Saccharomyces cerevisiae S288C: one gene and its partners. Changing the gene in region 2 together with the main gene of any one other region gives a genetic interaction. Each region holds a gene or a part of one and is shown on either strand. Other genes may lie near its edges. The genes, in order: ASN1, YAL064W, MAL33 and DSF2.

The links.
Region 1: mutations in YAL064W (region 2) and ASN1 together harm fitness more than expected from each alone (negative genetic interaction), as found in Saccharomyces cerevisiae (one large-scale study listed by BioGRID).
Region 3: mutations in YAL064W (region 2) and MAL33 together harm fitness more than expected from each alone (negative genetic interaction), as found in Saccharomyces cerevisiae (one large-scale study listed by BioGRID).
Region 4: mutations in YAL064W (region 2) and DSF2 together harm fitness more than expected from each alone (negative genetic interaction), as found in Saccharomyces cerevisiae (one large-scale study listed by BioGRID).

Annotation. Positions count from the first base shown.
Region 1 is NC_001148.4:820,198-825,430, forward strand, and holds ASN1 (asparagine synthase (glutamine-hydrolyzing) 1), read left to right. Parts: upstream 1-2,422; coding exon 2,423-4,141; downstream 4,142-5,233. Other genes in the region: ribosome biosynthesis protein NOC4, read right to left, coding at 1-1,226; YPR145C-A (uncharacterized protein), read right to left, coding at 4,493-4,729.
Region 2 is NC_001133.9:19,041-22,800, forward strand, and holds YAL064W (uncharacterized protein), read left to right. Parts: upstream 1-2,525; coding exon 2,526-2,810; downstream 2,811-3,760. Other genes in the region: YAL063C-A (uncharacterized protein), read right to left, coding at 3,355-3,645.
Region 3 is NC_001134.8:797,737-802,801, reverse strand, and holds MAL33 (transcription factor MAL33), read right to left. Parts: upstream 2,280-5,065; coding exon 873-2,279; downstream 1-872. Other genes in the region: MAL31 (maltose permease), read left to right, coding at 1-171; TYC1 (Tyc1p), read left to right, coding at 2,560-2,679; PHO89 (Pho89p), read left to right, coding at 4,280-5,065. UniProt on the Saccharomyces cerevisiae protein: Regulates the coordinate transcription of structural MAL3S (maltase) and MAL3T (maltose permease) genes.
Region 4 is NC_001134.8:248,306-254,052, reverse strand, and holds DSF2 (Dsf2p), read left to right. Parts: upstream 1-3,036; coding exon 3,037-5,247; downstream 5,248-5,747. Other genes in the region: FLR1 (Flr1p), read left to right, coding at 1-1,490; UGA2 (succinate-semialdehyde dehydrogenase (NAD(P)(+))), read right to left, coding at 5,550-5,747.

The DNA of each region.
Region 1 (5,233 bases), on a different chromosome or scaffold from region 2:
TGTTTCCTGATTAAATTATAGATGAAGGGAATCACGGTGACAATAGCAGAGGGTGGTGATTCTAGGGTGAGTCTGGCTAGCTTTTTGATGAAAGATGCTACTAAATGGGCGGATAAATGTGTTGATGACAAAAATACGTCCATTAACCTGAAAAATCTTGCTCTGTATTTAACATGCATTAAGTCTGGATTTATAATTTGATAAAGTTTCATATAAAAATTTGGATATTCCAAGTTGAATCTTTTCATCAATTCAAAAAGGCCATTCAGAGCCAAGATCGGAACAACACCGGCGTTTTTATTAGAGCTTTGCAAATTGTAGGAATCAGTAAGGAAATCCATTAGTTTAGTTGGAGTGTGGAAATGAGGTATTATTCTCTTATGCAAAATTAACAGAATAGACTTATACTGCTGTAAAGACAATTGGCCGTTTAAAAGGGATAACCAATTTTTCTCGAAATTGGACTTGAATTTGGACTCGTTCTCTATGGCTTGTGGGGGATTTGGTACAAAGATCTCTAAATCTGCATCAACACTAGAGCAATGTTTGTCATGATTTACTAAAGCTAACCATTTACCAACGTTTTTCAAAAGCAAGTCCTGGTAGGCTGGATCCTCTAATAGTTGGTTAAATTCTGATTGAAAGTAGTATTGAATATCTGCAAATTTCGTATAATATTTTTCCGTGAATTCTACTATGATTAAATTTTCAGACGCACCCGAGCTTTTGACATCCTCTATTTCACCCATGTTCGAGGACCATAGGGCGATGATTAACTTTCTGAATGTTTTATTGGGGAAAAATGGTGCGCCCTTTTCAGATGCAAAATGAGTTGATTCCAGCTCTGCAAGTTGAAGATAGACATCAAGCGAATCTAACCCAAGTGATGTTTCGAAAGGTATGTCCGAAATGATAGCTAACAGCTTCGTCTTGAACGCTTCATACACCTTTCTACACCAATTAACAAACTGTTCCTTCTCTAATGTGCTCTTTTTGGACGAAGGAAGGGTCAAGTCGCCGCGGGAAAACAGCTTTCTAAATATCTGGAATAGCGACATAACCAGAAATCTCAAATTTTTTTCTGTCTCATCTTCTTCCAATTGAGTAACATTTTCTGGAATCACTAGTTCATTGATTAACTTGATAATGGAGTTGTACTGCTTTCTGTCACCCGCAGCAGTCAGCCTCTTGGCAATATCTTTAATTTCTGATATAAGCAATACCATATTCTTTGACGTTTCTTTTTAATAGATCTCTCTTCATGGCAATAGAGGATGATAATTACATCTCATCTCATCTCATCAAAACCGTAATACACTTTTTTTTTTCTCAGTTGGAAAATTTTAGTGAAAAATTTCAAGAATAGCCCTAAACCTTCAAATACGAGGATTACCCGTAGAGAAGTGCTGAAAAACTTTTTTCTTTTTCTTTTTTTTCGATTTTCATTTAACAGGTATAAAAAGCGAAACACTCGGTACATATATTTTACCAAGACGCGTTAGATTTTCTTTGGAGGTTTCATTTAAAGAAACCAATGACCTTCCAAGTTTTTAAAAGAATACGATGATATTATTTGCGTTTCAAATCGAACAATTCTTCTCGGAGCGATCTGAGGTTTTAATGGAGATAGCGGTTCCTGCGCAACCCATTGATCTTGTTACATTCTTAAGAATGACAAGGACGCTTTTATAAAATTCTGATTCTTTTTTCTTTCATTCTTTTGTTGTTTTTGACTTGGGAGTAGTCATCTCATCTGTACACAAGTAGCTTTTTATATGTTCTTAAATTGTAGACTAGTCAAAACTTGTGTCCTTTAAACCGTGCCGAAACAGTTTTAAAGCGGACATCCAGGGAAACTTGCCGTTAACAATAAGTGACCTTGCATGGAAGACTGTCGATTGGTCTCTGTGGAAACCAGTGCATATCTAAATTAAATCTATTGTCATCACGAATGCCGCCCGTGTTCGTGCAACGTGAGCGCAAATACGCCTGGGGTCTGTCTTTCTGCGCTGGAAAGCACCTTCGGGCATCAACTACCGTTTCTTATCGCTGGCACTATCTATCCACCAATCACACGGCAGCAGTACTGCTGCCGTGGACGGCAAATTAGGTACAGGGCCTATGACTGTTATCATTTGGCAGGCTCAGACAGAGAGAGAGAGCACAAGGAAAAGAGCCTTAACTCATGTAACATTTGACTCATTCTGTAAACTGAAAATTTGCTGCCCACTCGAGATGACAAATAGTTCGTTCTTGAATTTATGCGCATTTATAGATACGCATATATAACCCTATAGTGAACGCCACTAGGAGACAGATTCTGTTTGGACCCTGATCGCATACTCTTCTTACCTTTACATAATAAAATAAGAAAAAGTATAACTTGCTTTACGCTAAGGATATAAATCGGACGTAACTTAAGATGTGTGGTATTTTCGCCGCTTTCAGGCACGAAGACGTGCATAGATATAAGCCAAAGGCTCTACAACTATCAAAAAGAATCAGACACCGTGGTCCAGATTGGTCCGGTAATGCTATCAAGAACTCCACTATATTTGTTCATGAAAGACTAGCCATTGTCGGTGTGGAATCCGGTGCTCAACCAATTACTTCTTCAGACGGAGAGTACATGCTATGTGTTAACGGTGAAATCTACAACCACATTCAATTAAGAGAAGAATGCGCAGACTACGAGTTTGGAACACTGAGTGACTGTGAGCCTATCATCCCAATGTACTTAAAGCACGATATCGACGCTCCTAAGTACTTGGATGGTATGTTTGCTTGGACTCTTTACGACGCTAAACAAGATCGTATTGTGGCAGCCAGAGACCCAATCGGTATTACGACATTATATATGGGACGCTCTTCCGCTTCTCCAAAGACCGTTTATTTTGCATCCGAACTAAAATGTTTGACTGACGACTGTGACACTATCACTGCATTCCCACCGGGCCACGTATACGATTCTAAGACTGACAAGATCACCCGTTACTTCACACCAGATTGGCTGGACGAAAAACGCATTCCTTCCACCCCAATAGATTACATGGCAATTAGACACTCCTTAGAAAAAGCCGTTAGAAAGAGATTAATGGCCGAAGTCCCATACGGTGTTCTATTGTCGGGTGGTTTGGACTCCTCTTTAATCGCTTCCATTGCTGCCCGTGAAACTGCAAAGGCCACTAACGATGTCGAACCATCAACTTACGATAGTAAGGCAAGACATCTAGCAGGTATCGACGATGACGGTAAGCTACACACTGCTGGTTGGACAAGTCTCCATTCCTTTGCCATCGGTTTACCAAATGCTCCAGATTTGCAAGCCGCAAGAAAGGTTGCCAAATTCATCGGCTCTATTCATCATGAACACACCTTTACATTACAAGAAGGTTTGGATGCTTTGGACGACGTGATCTACCATTTGGAAACTTACGACGTTACCACTATCAGAGCTTCCACTCCAATGTTCTTACTATCCAGAAAGATTAAGGCCCAAGGGGTCAAGATGGTTCTTTCCGGTGAAGGTTCCGATGAAATCTTCGGTGGTTATCTATATTTCGCACAAGCTCCTTCTGCGGCAGAATTTCACACTGAATCCGTGCAACGTGTCAAGAACTTGCATTTGGCAGATTGTTTGAGAGCTAACAAGTCTACGATGGCTTGGGGTCTAGAAGCTCGTGTTCCATTCTTAGACAGAGAATTTTTGCAATTGTGTATGAACATCGATCCAAATGAAAAGATGATTAAACCAAAGGAAGGACGTATTGAAAAGTACATTCTAAGGAAGGCATTCGACACCACAGGAGAACCAGATGCTAAGCCATATTTACCAGAAGAAATTTTATGGAGACAAAAAGAACAATTTTCCGACGGTGTTGGTTACTCCTGGATCGACGGATTAAAAGATACCGCCGAAGCAGTCATTTCAGATGAAATGTTTGCCAGTCCAAAGGCCGAATGGGGTAGTGACATTCCAACCACAAAAGAGGCTTTCTGGTACAGACTAAAATTCGATGCTTTGTTCCCTCAAAAGACCGTGGCTGACACCGTTATGAGATGGATTCCAAAGGCCGACTGGGGTTGTGCTGAAGATCCTTCTGGTAGATATGCCCAAATTCATGAAAAACATATCGAATAAATAACATTAAAAAATAGAAAAAGAATTATGGATTAATCTTATAGATATTTTTATAGAAAAACAAACACTAACAATAATAATAATAATAAATAGAATATAGAAATACATATTTTTCATAATAGTTTGATGAAGTTTTATTCATAAATCATTTTTTATCGCCAGTGCTAAAAAATTAAGTGTGTGGATGACTGTATATATGCGTATCGAACGATCTTGATGCAAATCATTTTGAAACATTATTCTTGACTTTGATATTTCCTATTATACATCCTCCTTCCTTGAGACCCAATAATCTTAAAAATGATGGAGACAGTGCATGCCCTCCTTTTCACCCTTCTTTTATGTCGTTTCTTACAATTTTCGAGATTCTTTTGAATCTGATCTCCTTTTACCTTGTGACTGAAGATTCCTAATCGAATTGCTCCTCTCTAGCGACGCCCTTTGTTTCATTTCGTGTGCAATTAGTAGATCGTGCCTTGTTATTACTGTATTCTTATTTCTTGATTTAATTTCCGCTCGATAGTTTTGCGGATATTGACTATCACTTTTCTTAAATATTAGTTTTATTTTTCTGAAGGCAGTGCTCATATGTAAAGTAGTAACGTTGTTAGTGCAGTGTTAGCAGTCAAACCTAAAAATAAAAGTATAAAAAAACTATATCTATTTTTTTTTTGTTTGTTTACGCACGTTTATATATTTAACACGGTGAAGTAGTCCTGCCATTATGCTGCTCTAACACAAGAGTCGTATATGGATGAGCTAATGACTAAGATCCGAGTAGCGAAGTCATGTATGCAAGCTAACGCAACAAGGCTGTAAAGAATACAAGCCTTGTCACCCTAGTACCAGCATCAAGCAAATTGCTCATTTACGACTGTGCCATGAAGTAGGGATGAATGAGGTGTTTCTGATGACACCTCTGAGGAGCTTTTCTTGAGCTCGTTTCTGTGCCACTTTTTGTTCCCGCGGCTAAGCCGCGCAGACCGATAATACTCGCTTAGATGCACATCAAGCCAAATCTCTATAAAAAAATCGACGTTTCCCAAACGACGCTGACCCTTTATTCATCGTTATCAAAAAAAGGCAGCTTTC
Region 2 (3,760 bases):
TCTTATTATTGAAAGCATGGTGTACATCCGTTATACTATTATATTATAAGAAATTGGGATGCCAATTTTTTTGCTTTTGTTTTGCCTGTTTTCCTTCTTTTCGCAAAAGTAATTGCAGATTTAATAGCAGGATATTATACCGTTGGTAAAACTTAAGGATTTTATGAACAATAGCTTCAAGTACAGCATTCATAGAACCAACTACTAAGGATGAAACTAGTATGTTTTTGTCAAAATATTTTCTTGACCTTGCTGTAACATCAAGATCTGTTTCTCTAAGATATTAAAGTTGAGTAAAAACAAAGCTGATATGAGAAAAATACGTAATTGCTCCACATAATACGTGGGTCAGACATAAAGGTAGAATACTTGATACAGAAGAGATTATTCGGTACTCTTGATGGCGTGCTTGAACTGGTGCCTCTTAACAACCGGTAATATAGTCAGATGAGTCACTACGAGTGTGTGTAGTAGCAAGTGTTTTACCTACGTGGCAGTAAGAGTAGCTCTATGGTTGTGTAATAGTGGTGCTTATTCCTAATGCTCTGAAGTCTGAAGCGGTACAGTTGGTCTGGTCTATATCATGGTCAAAGGAGCAAACATATCTTCTGAAGTGACCGCAAATAGTACTATGATGTGGTTGGCAATATAACTTAAAAGGAAATAACCACAAGGAATTGCACCCATGTACACAGTTTTTCCCGGAAATTGGGAAACCAGTACGAACATATATCAATTACTTTTACATTATCTTGATTGGAAAACTGGCACAATTGACTGTGACGTTAGTAGTATGTTGTTCTTCTCTACATCAGTTAAATATACGTGTCAACATCAACTAATCAACTTTCCCCCGTTTACCACATTGAAGCTGGGTGTGGAAGATTTATTTGAAGAAACTAAAACGTACCCTGTCATTTCCTGAGTCCCCTTTCAACTTAGTGTGAAAGCCGAACAATTATAATCCTCGGTAGACAACAGATTTATTGTACTAAAGTTACTCTTCCTGTTATCTTCCTTGATTTTACTGTTATAGCAATGACCCACCGCAATCAGGAGAGCCGCCGTATGGAATAGCATACCAAGTCATAAAATCGTCAACCTATTAACGGGGTTCAGGTTCTTTTTCAGCGTAGTAGCCCTTTAACAAGCGCTGACAAAGTTGACACTCAGAGAAAATTCAGGATTTATTGTAATCCAGCTACTCATCCTTAGATCCGCTTGCAGGCATGGTTTTTTTCACCTTGAGAGGCTATTTTGGGTAAGCCAGGAAGGCTGAAAAATCCCAAAAGGACACAGTAATAAGAAATTGTTGTTGTTGTATGATGCATTTAGAACTCAAAAGACGAGTTTCTGAAAATGCTTACAATACTCCATAGGTAACATGATTTTTTTATTAAAAAAGTATACTGTTCCTTTGGGTAAAAATTATGCAACCCTTGAGTGTCCGATGAAGATAAGACTACGAAACAATTTGCGGTAAATTTTTTCTGCTATTGACATTTACACATGCTCCAATCCATTACCCTTTCCATTCTCGTAATAAAACCTCGAACTGTTATTTCATATTTACATCTAGACGGGTATCGGCCTCAACAACTCCAAACAAAAGTAAATAGAAAAGAGCCAGACCTATCGCACCGGGTAGAGCCAGAAAATATTTTAAACTATAGTTGACGTATTCTACGGCTGTTGTTTAGGACAATACTTTTTCCTTCACAGGCTTCGAATTACGCACATGCAGAACTCCTGTAGAAACCACGAAGAAAAGTTTAATTAACTTTCAAATGCCAGAACTAAAGATTGATGAAACAGTTATACGAATTTAAGGGGAACTTGCTTTTTCCTTTTGCTTCATCATAAGCGCAATATTCGCAGCGGTGGCGTCGCGTCTTACCATTTATCGGCACATTTTTCCGAAAAGGAAGGAAAATGGCGGTGTCAAACGGTCTGGTGTGACATCTAGAAGTTCGGCATTGCAAGTTAATCTACGGGAAAAAGAAAATTTTCTTATAACCCTAATGTATAATAAGGTTTTCGGAGAAAGCAACTCACGGGGAACAATTGGTTAGAAGAGACCGTAGAAGCGCCCCACTAACCTGGAGTTGATTATCGAGGATCTTTCTCAGAAAAGCAGCTAATAAATGAGCACAGTACTCAAAAATTACTCATAGTATTATAATTACTTACTTAGTCAATATGGCTGCGCTTTTAAAATGAGTATCTTTTATTTTTTGACAAGGAAGAAAAAGATGCAAGCAAAGAGAAATTTACTAAGTACAAGCTCATTTCCAAAAATTCAGTTTGCCTGTAACAATGGGTAGCGATCTTCAACATATGGGATTATGCCTTGAATGAGATTTTTGAACGTAGAGGAAAAAATCGCAGACAGGCTTTATTGTGCTGTTTGACATAGTATACTCAGCCGTTGTGGTGTTAATGAATACTATCGATGTGTATACAAACGTACTTCAAATAAGCAATGCGAATATACTGCAACTTTTCGGCCTTTGCAACGATTTGTAATGAATCCTTTTGCATCGCTAGAAGGACAAGATAATATTTCTTCTGTTTTTTTTTTACATATGCAACAATTTGAAAGTCAGGTCAAAGACAGATTCCGGTTCCCCATATTCAGATTGGAGAGAAAAACTTTTGGCAACTCATGTTACCAAGTCGAGACGCTTAAAGTTAAGTGTCGGCCAAGACACGCAAAATCTTGTAATCTTTTAACGCTGCTCTTCAAATCACGGACGCAATCAGTACTTGTACCTAATTTTGGTTTTCTAATATTGAATAGCGAACCATAGGTCGAAAATTTAAGGCCACATAAATCCAGAGCCCGCAACTTGGATAGGTATTTACTTGATTTTTAGTTTGCTTTCAATAGTGTCGTGAAATTATAAAGTACGCCGCATATATATCTTGATTAGTTAAAAATAGCAGTGTTCAATGATGATTTGATAGGGTTCATAACTGGTACCAGCGTAGTACAATTACGATTATCCATGAACATAAAAGTGGTTTAAGTACTATATATCAGTGAAGCTTCAAAGTAAGCAAACGAGATACCAAGATCTTGTAGGACCACGATATATAAGAAGCCTAGTTCCGTTGTAGCATCACATAGAAGAGAGCGACAATGCCTCAGAAATTCTACAGCAACAGAAAGCACAGTGAGTCATTAACTGTTGGAATAAGACTCAACTGCGAGCTATCGACTAGTACTTATATTACTAGTATATTATATACGGTGTGAAAAGACGACATGAAGATTGAGGAAATGGTCCCAAGATCTAATGGACACTGAAATGCAAAAGTTGATAATGTAACATGAAAATTAAGGACAGCATATTAAACAGAAGAGGAAATAATGGTATTTTTACATAGAGATATGAATTTCCCTTTTTCTTTGTTCCTATATCTCTGATAATAAGTTATAATATACTTTGTGCATCTTATATCATGCCTTTTCAACAATGAAATATCAGCAGTTATCAAAGCATTCGCCAAATTTTTATTAATAAAACAAATGTCAGAAATATGGCCGGAATCTAATCTGAAAGTTAAAATAATTCTTACGATATTCTTATCATAAAACCAATGATTAATGTTTATGATGAGCAAAACTGTGCGAGGGCACATACATACAGTGGGACCTCATGAGATCCAGAAAAAAAGCAAAGGAAAGTTCGATCGAAACATTAGCTCTTAGATATTACAGACGTGAGGTATCTCTTCCTTGAAGAGAATCTGGCCC
Region 3 (5,065 bases), on a different chromosome or scaffold from region 2:
GAATTGTTTAGACTTGGTGTTCCAGCAAGAAAGTTCAAGTCGACTAAAGTCGACCCTTTTGCAGCTGCCAAAGCAGCAGCTGCAGAAATTAATGTTAAAGATCCGAAGGAAGATTTGGAAACTTCTGTGGTAGATGAAGGGCGAAACACCTCATCTGTTGTGAACAAATGATTTTTTTAGCCAGTAGGTAGATACGGCGTTATTTAATTTTATTTTATATAACTAGTACTTAACACATCGAGTTTATTTTTACTCGACATTATGACTTTTTTTTGGTTTTGTTGCGGCTTTGAAGTTTTTTCAACTAGAGGTTATTATTTTGTTCTGAAAAAACGTTAATGATTTAAATGAATCATTGTGATGAGGGTCCTAGATTTAAATATCTTGCAAAAAGAAGTACTAATATACAATTTTTTCATTCCCGTTAATGAAAATGCTTGAATTTTTATATTGTATATTGATACACTCTATTCATGTTCCGGCAACAATTATTTTTTTTTTAATTCTGTAAATTTACTTTTTGACGTATTCTTTCAGCATTTCTGTGCTTATGTTAGAATTCAAGAGAGTATTCCCTATTCCTGGTAACGTAAATTCGCTTTGTAAATCAACGATACATGATTCTCATATCCCAACAAAAATGCCACAAAATTTATATTAGTAAGCTGCCCGCTTAAGTATATACTTAATGTAACTGTATATAGAATTATCATGACCATCAGAACTAAATATTACAAACAAGTAAGGCAGGAGTAGAATAATCTCGCCTGAAGAACATAGCTTCTTACACCCTCGAAAAGCAAGACTTAAGAATATCACTCACACTCTATCAGTATATCTATCTCGTATAAGTGAACGGCGTGAACAATAAATTAAGGAATTATGTCGTCTTCATCTTTGGAATCATCATTTAGGCGCAGTGGTCTAGAGATAGGCAAATCGATTAGAGCACTCTGACATTTAGTTGAAAACCTTTGAAACATTTTATGATTGCAATGTTTCAGGGAGAAAACGAACTTGGATACATCGCACAAAATATTCCAAGCCTCCAACTTCATATTGTGATCATACTTATTTACGATATCTACCAATGCATTGGCTACTTCCAATGATTTCATTGGTATTCCAGGACCATGTACATCATACAGGTTGTTTGGAGTTAAGAATATGTCGTCCAGCATATCCTTTGCAATTTCGACCAATATGTGAGCATTATTGGCGTTTGAGAAAAACTTGGTACCATTCATCTGAAACACTAGCTTCCAAGCCAGCGCCCTAATCCAATGTCGAGAAAATGAAATGTCCACATAGCCATAAGACCATGGTTCTATTTCAAGGGATGCTGTGTGAAGCTCTTTCCATATTTTTTTCAGTGAGTCTTCAGTGCAAGAACCGCTAGTAGACTCCGTAGCCAAAGCATCAAAAAAGCATTTACCTGGTACAGTAAATACTCTAATCATCTCAAAAAAGCTATCCAAAGAAAGTCGAGGGTCCGTTACGAACTCTGGCTGAGGTGGAGCTATTGTGGTATCCAAACTTGTAACACAATGAACATATACGGAATAGTATCTTTCCGTCAAGAGAAGCAAATAATACACCTTGCGTAAAAGCTGTTGCTCACGAAATGATAGTGATTCGTATGCTTTTTCACGATGTAACCCTGCTACAATAACAAGGCCAATAGCTTCACGACAAAGTCTGTATGAATTTCTTACATCAGAAGACTGTGAAAAACAACGTAGCAAGCAATAATATGTCATAATTCGGAAAATGTCTCTGCCGCTAAGGTCATCAAATTGTTGGCGTGAGGACATACAGAGAACGGCTAATTGTTTTCCAGTAAACGAAAATCCCCCCTCAGATTCTAATTCGCTTTGTAGATCGCTAAGATTGGCTGCTGAAAGAGCTACGAGAAACCAATAAACGTAATGGTCATTGTATTCTTCGTCCAAAAGCTTGTGAAGGTCATCATAAGAGAGTAAAGGCCAGATAACATATAGATTGTCGTGATAAAGCCTCAAACACTGATCAATCACCTTTTTAGGAACCTTCATTAATATTTCTGCCGCTGCCGTACAACTTTTATTATCTATAAACATTTTGGCCTTTGGTATATACTTTAAGCTTCTAGTTCCAATAGGCTTTGAGCCTCTTTTTTTTAATGGTTGCTGATATGTGCAATCGAAATTGTGCTCAATACAGCGACTACATGGTTTTTTACCATCACACTTTACTCGACGGACACGACAATAGTCGCATGCATACTTGACTAAAGTCATATTTAGAACATAAATATCTTCAAGATGCTCTCGTTCGATGTTTGATATTCAATATTTACACTCTAGTGTTTTCCCGAGAAAGAAACCTTCTGAAATGATTTTTTGTTCCTTTTTAATCTATTGAAAAATGGCGGTACGGACAATAAAATCCGGGGGCGGGGTAAATTGCGCATGGCCGTGGAATGTCACTGCAAAGTGAACGAGAAGATTAGAACACGGAATAAGGAAAACTTCTGGGGAATTTATTTTTCAAGATTTGGTTCCAGGTTTTTCCCCAGAAATGAAAGTGCTAGATGATTGGTTTTCAAGGAAGTTCTCAAAAGCTGTACACGGAAACAATCACGGCACCATTTCCTTGTCAACTCTGTCTTATATCAGAGTCCATAAACTAGTAAAATGACTTCGTAGAATCGAACAATATCTCACCATAAAATTTTTTTCACAAACAAAAAAGACGCTCTATTATACAAAAAGCTGCTGCGGCCCTTCTTAATGACTAAATCTTGACAACTGAGCTCTTTCACACCTGTGCAAAATCCAATGGGAGCAATAAATGTAACATATTTTTTTAACATACCACGGTAGGGCAATGAATATAAATAGATATTGGACCGTATCCTTTTCTGATCATCTTGAAAACATTGTCTTGCCTCTCAACAGCTTTATCTATTCTTCACCTCTCTTCGTTTGACTATTTCAGCATGTATTTTTTCACACAATTTTTCTTCCAACTATTTTCCAATATTACTACGAGAATTCCGACCACGGAAAAAAACTTGCGCTGTTCCAATCAGTCCCATTCTATCCATCTACCTGCCAGTGGTTTCGTAATATCGACTCACACCAGTAACGACATAACTGTTTTTTCGTTCATGATTTAATAGCGAGCCCACCTTTAACGCATATCTGCTTCACCGCTGAAATAATATTTTACGAGCACGCTAACACAATGCTTGTGTTTTCTGTTGAAATCACAATACCGTTACTTGGAGTGACCATTTATGGTTTGTTGAATTCACAGTACTCTCGTCAGCTTTGTCACGTATTCAACTGTAACCTCTTTGAATCTCAACACTACGTTGTCTTCGCGTGTACTAAATGTATCGATTATATAATAGTATTTAAAAATCATTTAAAATTGCACCATGTACTGTATAATGATTTTCTCAAGACGATATTTCGAGTTTTGCCGATGGGTCTTATAATCTCTTTTGATAGAGATACCTACTTTTAACAATATCAAAATTACTGATATAGGTTAATTTTTGTTCACGAGTAAGTACTTCAGTGACACTCGTCAGTAAAGAACATTAGCGGAATCGTTATAATTTCATTCCTTACATCCGTTTAATTTCATTAATTCGATGCATCTTTCTTTGGCGAAGCCAGAAAATCTAGTTTCAGAAATCTCGGTTTCACCCGCAAAAAAGTTTAAATTTCACAGATCGCGCCACACCGATCACAAAACGGCTTCACCACAAGGGTGTGTGGCTGTGCGATAGACCTTTTTTTTCTTTTTCTGCTTTTTCGTCATCCCCACGTTGTGCCATTAATTTGTTAGTGGGCCCTTAAATGTCGAAATATTGCTAAAAATTGGCCCGAGTCATTGAAAGGCTTTAAGAATATACCGTACAAAGGAGTTTATGTAATCTTAATAAATTGCATATGACAATGCAGCACGTGGGAGACAAATAGTAATAATACTAATCTATCAATACTAGATGTCACAGCCACTTTGGATCCTTCTATTATGTAAATCATTAGATTAACTCAGTCAATAGCAGATTTTTTTTACAATGTCTACTGGGTGGACATCTCCAAACAATTCATGTCACTAAGCCCGGTTTTCGATATGAAGAAAATTATATATAAACCTGCTGAAGATGATCTTTACATTGAGGTTATTTTACATGAATTGTCATAGAATGAGTGACATAGATCAAAGGTGAGAATACTGGAGCGTATCTAATCGAATCAATATAAACAAAGATTAAGCAAAAATGGCTTTACATCAATTTGACTATATTTTTGCCATTGCCATGTTATTTGCATTTTTGGATGCCTTTAACATCGGGGCAAACGACGTGGCGAACTCATTCGCGTCGTCGATCTCTTCTAGATCTCTAAAATACTGGCAAGCCATGGTTTTGGCGGGTCTCTGTGAGTTCTTGGGTGCTGTCTTGGCAGGCGCAAGAGTTTCTGGTACTATCAAGAACAACATTATAGATTCCTCCATTTTTACCAACGACCCCGCTGTTTTAATGCTTACTATGACCAGTGCTTTGATTGGCTCGTCTTGTTGGTTAACATTTGCTACTGCAATCGGAATGCCAGTTTCTACTACACATTCCATTGTTGGTGGTACAATTGGCGCTGGGATTGCAGCCGGTGGAGCTAACGGTGTCGTTTGGGGTTGGAGTGGTGTTTCTCAAATTATTGCGTCATGGTTCATTGCTCCGATTTTGGCAGGCGCGATCGCAGCTATAGTTTTTTCAATTTCTAGGTTTTCTGTCCTTGAAGTTAAGTCTTTGGAAAGATCGATTAAGAATGCTTTACTGCTGGTTGGTGTTTTAGTATTCGCCACTTTCTCTATCTTAACAATGTTGATTGTCTGGAAGGGTTCTCCAAACCTACACTTGGACGATTTATCTGAAACTGAAACTGCCGTATCTATTGTTCTCACAGGTGCAATTGCTTCGATCGTTTACTTCATCTTTTTCTACCCATTCTACAGAAGAAAAGTTTTGGACCAAGATTGGACACTAAAGTTGATTGATATTTTCAGA
Region 4 (5,747 bases), on a different chromosome or scaffold from region 2:
TAGAATGCGGTCCTAATAGATCGTGCTCTGAATCCTCTACCGATTCAGACTCTAGTGGTTCACAGATCGAAAAAAATGATCCTTTCAGGGTGGATTGGAACGGCCCCAGTGATCCTGAGAACCCACAAAACTGGCCCCTACTGAAAAAATCATTGGTAGTATTCCAAATAATGTTACTTACTTGCGTCACGTACATGGGATCCTCCATTTACACACCTGGCCAGGAATATATTCAAGAAGAGTTCCACGTTGGTCATGTAGTGGCAACATTAAATCTTTCTTTATATGTTCTTGGTTATGGTCTAGGTCCCATCATTTTTTCACCGCTATCAGAAACTGCACGCTATGGCCGTCTAAATCTGTACATGGTGACTTTATTTTTTTTCATGATCTTTCAAGTTGGTTGTGCTACTGTGCATAACATCGGCGGTTTAATCGTCATGCGTTTCATCAGTGGCATACTGTGCAGCCCATCGTTGGCCACTGGTGGCGGTACAGTGGCTGATATCATTTCACCAGAAATGGTTCCTCTCGTTTTAGGTATGTGGTCAGCCGGTGCTGTTGCTGCGCCAGTCTTGGCTCCCTTACTAGGCGCTGCTATGGTCGATGCTAAAAATTGGCGATTCATATTTTGGTTATTAATGTGGTTAAGTGCTGCCACTTTTATCTTGTTGGCATTTTTCTTCCCTGAAACACAACACCATAATATTTTGTACCGCCGTGCTTTGAAATTGAGAAAAGAAACTGGTGATGACAGGTACTATACTGAACAGGATAAACTCGATAGAGAAGTTGATGCAAGAACTTTTTTGATCAATACTTTGTATAGGCCTCTCAAAATGATTATCAAAGAGCCTGCAATTTTGGCTTTTGATCTCTATATCGCTGTTGCTTATGGTTGTTTCTACTTATTCTTTGAAGCATTCCCTATTGTATTTGTAGGTATATACCACTTCAGCTTAGTTGAAGTTGGCTTGGCCTATATGGGGTTTTGCGTAGGGTGCGTACTTGCTTATGGCTTATTCGGTATTTTAAACATGAGGATTATTGTACCACGTTTTAGAAACGGCACATTCACCCCGGAAGCTTTTTTAATCGTGGCAATGTGTGTCTGCTGGTGCCTGCCTCTGTCTTTGTTCTTATTTGGTTGGACTGCTCGAGTGCATTGGATTTTGCCAGTTATCTCGGAAGTTTTTTTTGTTTTAGCTGTCTTTAACATTTTCCAAGCAACTTTTGCATATTTGGCTACATGCTACCCAAAGTATGTTGCATCCGTTTTTGCAGGCAATGGTTTTTGTCGGGCTTCGTTTGCCTGTGCTTTTCCGTTGTTTGGTAGAGCAATGTATGACAATTTAGCTACTAAGAACTATCCTGTGGCATGGGGTTCGTCCTTAGTGGGGTTCCTAACTTTAGGTCTAGCTATTATCCCGTTTATACTTTATAAGTATGGGCCATCATTACGTACAAGATCTTCGTACACAGAGGAGTAGAAAGCCGATGTTCTTACCATGAAAATTTGAATTATAATAACACAATTTTACTTATCGTCCATCTGTCGACAAAGATGTTCCACATAAGTTTACGTAAAGTTTAGCAGTGAAATAAATACTGTTCATAATGAACTTCATTGTTTATAAAAGTTGTTGTTGCAAGTATTCTCATGTTTATTTATCGCAGACTTGAAATCTTTGAAGGAAGATCTAAGGTCTACACACTATCGGTTACTTTGTGACCCTTTGCTTACCATACGGATGAAAAAAGAAAGAGGAATTACTTGAGCCACAATATCCTTCACTCATATTTGAAAATAGTACTTACTAAAGAAATATGCAACCATTTATACACGTAAGAAGTTCAATTATCAAATAGAAATTAAGCAAAATACTCAATTGAATACAGAGCAAAAGGATTAGCCATACGTTCTAGCACATTTTATGGGCCTAAGACATCATTTCCAGTTAACAGATAATATATTTCTACATAAAAACTTGGCTGTTCCACTGTCAAAGCCAAAAAGAGTCATTTGGTCATGAGAGTAGCTATGTTTCTACGACGAATCGAAAAAAAATGCATACTATTGATATCAAAATCATGCAGAAGGAACACATATTCATATATAACTAATCAGAGGATAAATCCTCTTGCGAATAAAAAGTTTGCGATGTTCTGATGCTTCAGGATTTCCTCTTAATAAATTCATATTTGAAGAGCCAAAGAACCAAAAGAATTGTACAAATTTTCTTCATCTATGAGAGGCCTAAAGGTTCGGGTTTGCTGCTATGTATCCTTGCTAAATTTTGATTATATTATGGCATTTATCGCTATTGCGTTTGCTTGCTGTTGCGCAAAAAATAATACAAAATACCTGATAATGTAAACAACGTAAATAATACAGGAAGTGATGCAAGAGAAGCTGCACAAAACTGCAGCATGCCTCACTTCGAAAAAAAAAAAAAAAAGAAGGAAGTCAGAAGAAGCAAGCCGATCTAAGACAGCTATTACCTCTAACAAGTAAGTCATAGATCAGAACGGCAATACCAGCCAGTGTACAATACAGCTGCATTACAACATAGCGTTTCTTGAACTTTTAGGTGACTGCTGGAAAAAATGAACGCGTCTCATATCGTGTGCGATGGCAACACCGGATCCCTGCGCTCAGAACATTCCGTGGACACCCACTGTCACTTCTTCGAGCCCCACCATTCCTTTACGCAGCCTGCGTGTGTTTCTGCGCGTTAAAACAATTATCACAGAAGGCTCCGGACGAAGAGCGGCAGAAAGAACAACGGTGCAACCGTCGTTGAATTTGATTATCAAATCACCTTATCTGCCATCGTGTTCTAGTAGTCTTCCATTGTATTACCACGGACATTCAAAAATAGTTCTTCTTTAGCAACTCTTTTTTTCTGTTGCCATTGCTCTTTGCGATAGCACATTCTGTTCCTCAATGCTAAATATAGGTGGAACTTGTAGGAGCCTCGAGAAAAAACAGAAAATCTAGAAAAACAAACGGACTTTTACGTCACACGAAAAGTAATGAATCAAAATTTAAAAAACACTTCTTGGGCTGATCGAATAGGAAGCGACGATCAAGAAAGAAAAGCTAACTCTTCAGAGGTTTCACAAAGCCCACCACCCAATAATAGCTTCGAGTCATCAATGGATTCACAATTTAGCTATGCTCATTCAAATAAAAGTAGCATTTCATTCGAATCTATTCAAACCACGGAAAGACTTCTTGACAAATTAGACCTCAGCTTGGAAGATGAACTGATTCTGCAAGAAGCTTTATTAGAAGAAGAAAACGCGTCGAGAAATTCGCAACTGTCACAAACAAGTGGTCCAACATTATGTATGCCTGCGTCGGAATTCCCTTCATTAAGGTATAGAACTAATCCCTCTCCAACATATATACAAGCTAGAGATCGTTCTCTTATCATAGACAATTTAAAAGAAAAGGATTCCACTTTGAGAGGCAAATACTCTTCCGGTAAAGTGGAAAGGCATTTGCCCGTGAAGTCGAGATACTCTTATATCGTCGAAGAAGATTATGACTCTGAGACTTTTAGTGGCATGAAACCCCAAATGAATAGAAATGAGAAAGATTATAAGTACCCAAACCTTGAAAATGGCAATAGAAGCACAAATAGCCCTAATCCTTTCAACTTCGAGAAATATAGGATTGAAAATACTAGACTGCACCATCTTTATCCTACGCTGATATCAGACAATAATACTAGCGTTGACAATAATGCTAATAGTAAGAATAACAGAACTACTAGTAATAATATTAATACATCTACAAAAACTGACAGAATATCCGAGAAGCAGAGTTGCCCCAATGAGTTCACAACCACGCAAAAGAGTAATTGTCTTTATCGGAACGGAAGTTCAACAAGCACCAACACCTCCTTTTCTGAAGTTGGACAACTATCAAAGCCGAAAACTCAGTCTTCTTTTGAAAGTGAATCATCCTCATTCTCCAAACTCAAGTTAACTAAGAGTGATACAACACCCATCAAACCATCTCCTAAACGGTCTAATTCCTCTACCTCGACGATAACGAAAACAAATACCATGACAAATGATATTTCATTACCTCCAACGCCACCATATAAAGCTCATAAAAAAAAAACGTCACTAAATTCGCTAAAAAAACTTTTTAAATCTCCTAGGACAAGAGCAAAAAATAAGAAAGACCTTGAGTCTGAAGGATCAAGCCCTATCCGGTCTGCCACCAATTCATTGGACTTCTCTGGGGAGAATATTCAACTTCCATCTACTTCAAGTACCATTAATAATTCCAGTCCACATTTAGCTAGGTATATTTTTCCTCCAAACCCAGTTTTCCATTTTAAAACAGCATCAACACCTCAGTCATCCACGGATAAAAAAAAGAACAGTAAAGCACGTCCAAATAGGACTCATTTGAGAACTTTCTCGGATTTCCATACAACGGAAAAAGATTCAAAAATAGGTGAACTAAGTGCACTAACAGAACAATCAAATAAGCCCTACCACCCGAAAGTTAGAAGAAGAACACTTTCTTTAGATGGTATGTTGCCCAATAATTCGACGCAATGCATGGATTCCTTCAGTCATAAAAAAGAAGGATCGAACGCAACAAGCAAGTGCGGGAAGCTTAAATTTCACCCAGAACCTTATGATAATGATGAATCTTCACACATCGGACAGGCAATTACTATGCGTCATCAAGGCAAACTTGAAGAATCTGCACAACGACTGAAAAAAGCCTGCGCGTGCGGAAACAAAACTGCGTTTCTGTTATATGGACTAGCCCTGCGACATGGCTGCGGAGTGGACAAGAACTTGAAATTATCATTAGGATATTTAATGGCTGCCACTGATATCAAATCCTTTGCTGCTGAGGTTCTTGATTTAGATATAAATCCGTTAAATTTTGCTTCAATGGACGATATCCCTGATATAGCGCCTGAACCAACAGCACCTGCCTTGTACGAATGTGGTATGGCATATTTAAAGGGTCTTGGGATGGATCATCCCGACGAGCGAAAAGGTTTGAAATTTTTGGAAAAAGCTGCTCTATTAGGCCATGTAGACTCAATGTGCTTAAGCGGGACAATTTGGTCCAAAACTTCAAACGTAAAGAAAAGGGATCTCGCCAGAGCTGCTGCATGGTTTAGGATAGCCGATAAAAAAGGTGCAAATCTATTAGGTTCAGATTGGATTTATAAGGAAAAGTACATGAAACAAGGTCCGAAATAAAGATAAAGAAACGTTGTATACATAAAAGCTTACAGAAAGGCTTAAAAGGAAAGGCATTTATTTTCGTACCATATATCTCACAAAAATAGATAGATAGATAGATATGATATTTTATGAATGGTATCACTTATTCCGCTTGTGAAAAACTTCAAAACTCCGTAAATATATGAACTCTTTTCTTTCAAAAAATTTACTTAACTTTCTATATACGAGGAGTAGAGTATTTATACATGCAATAGATATATACAATCATTACAAAGAATCATATTCAATTCTAAGTATCGTCCACGATTACTATTGCTTTAAATGCTGTTTGGCAAATTCCCAATTGTGATGGTCTTCAAAACAGTGTAATCTTCAATACCATATAGCGAACCTTCTCTTCCAAATCCTGACTCTTTAACACCACCAAATGGTATAGAACAATCCGAAAAAACACCTGTATTACATGAAACCATACCAGTTTCCAAAGCTTCAGACACAGTGTATAAAGTGTTGAC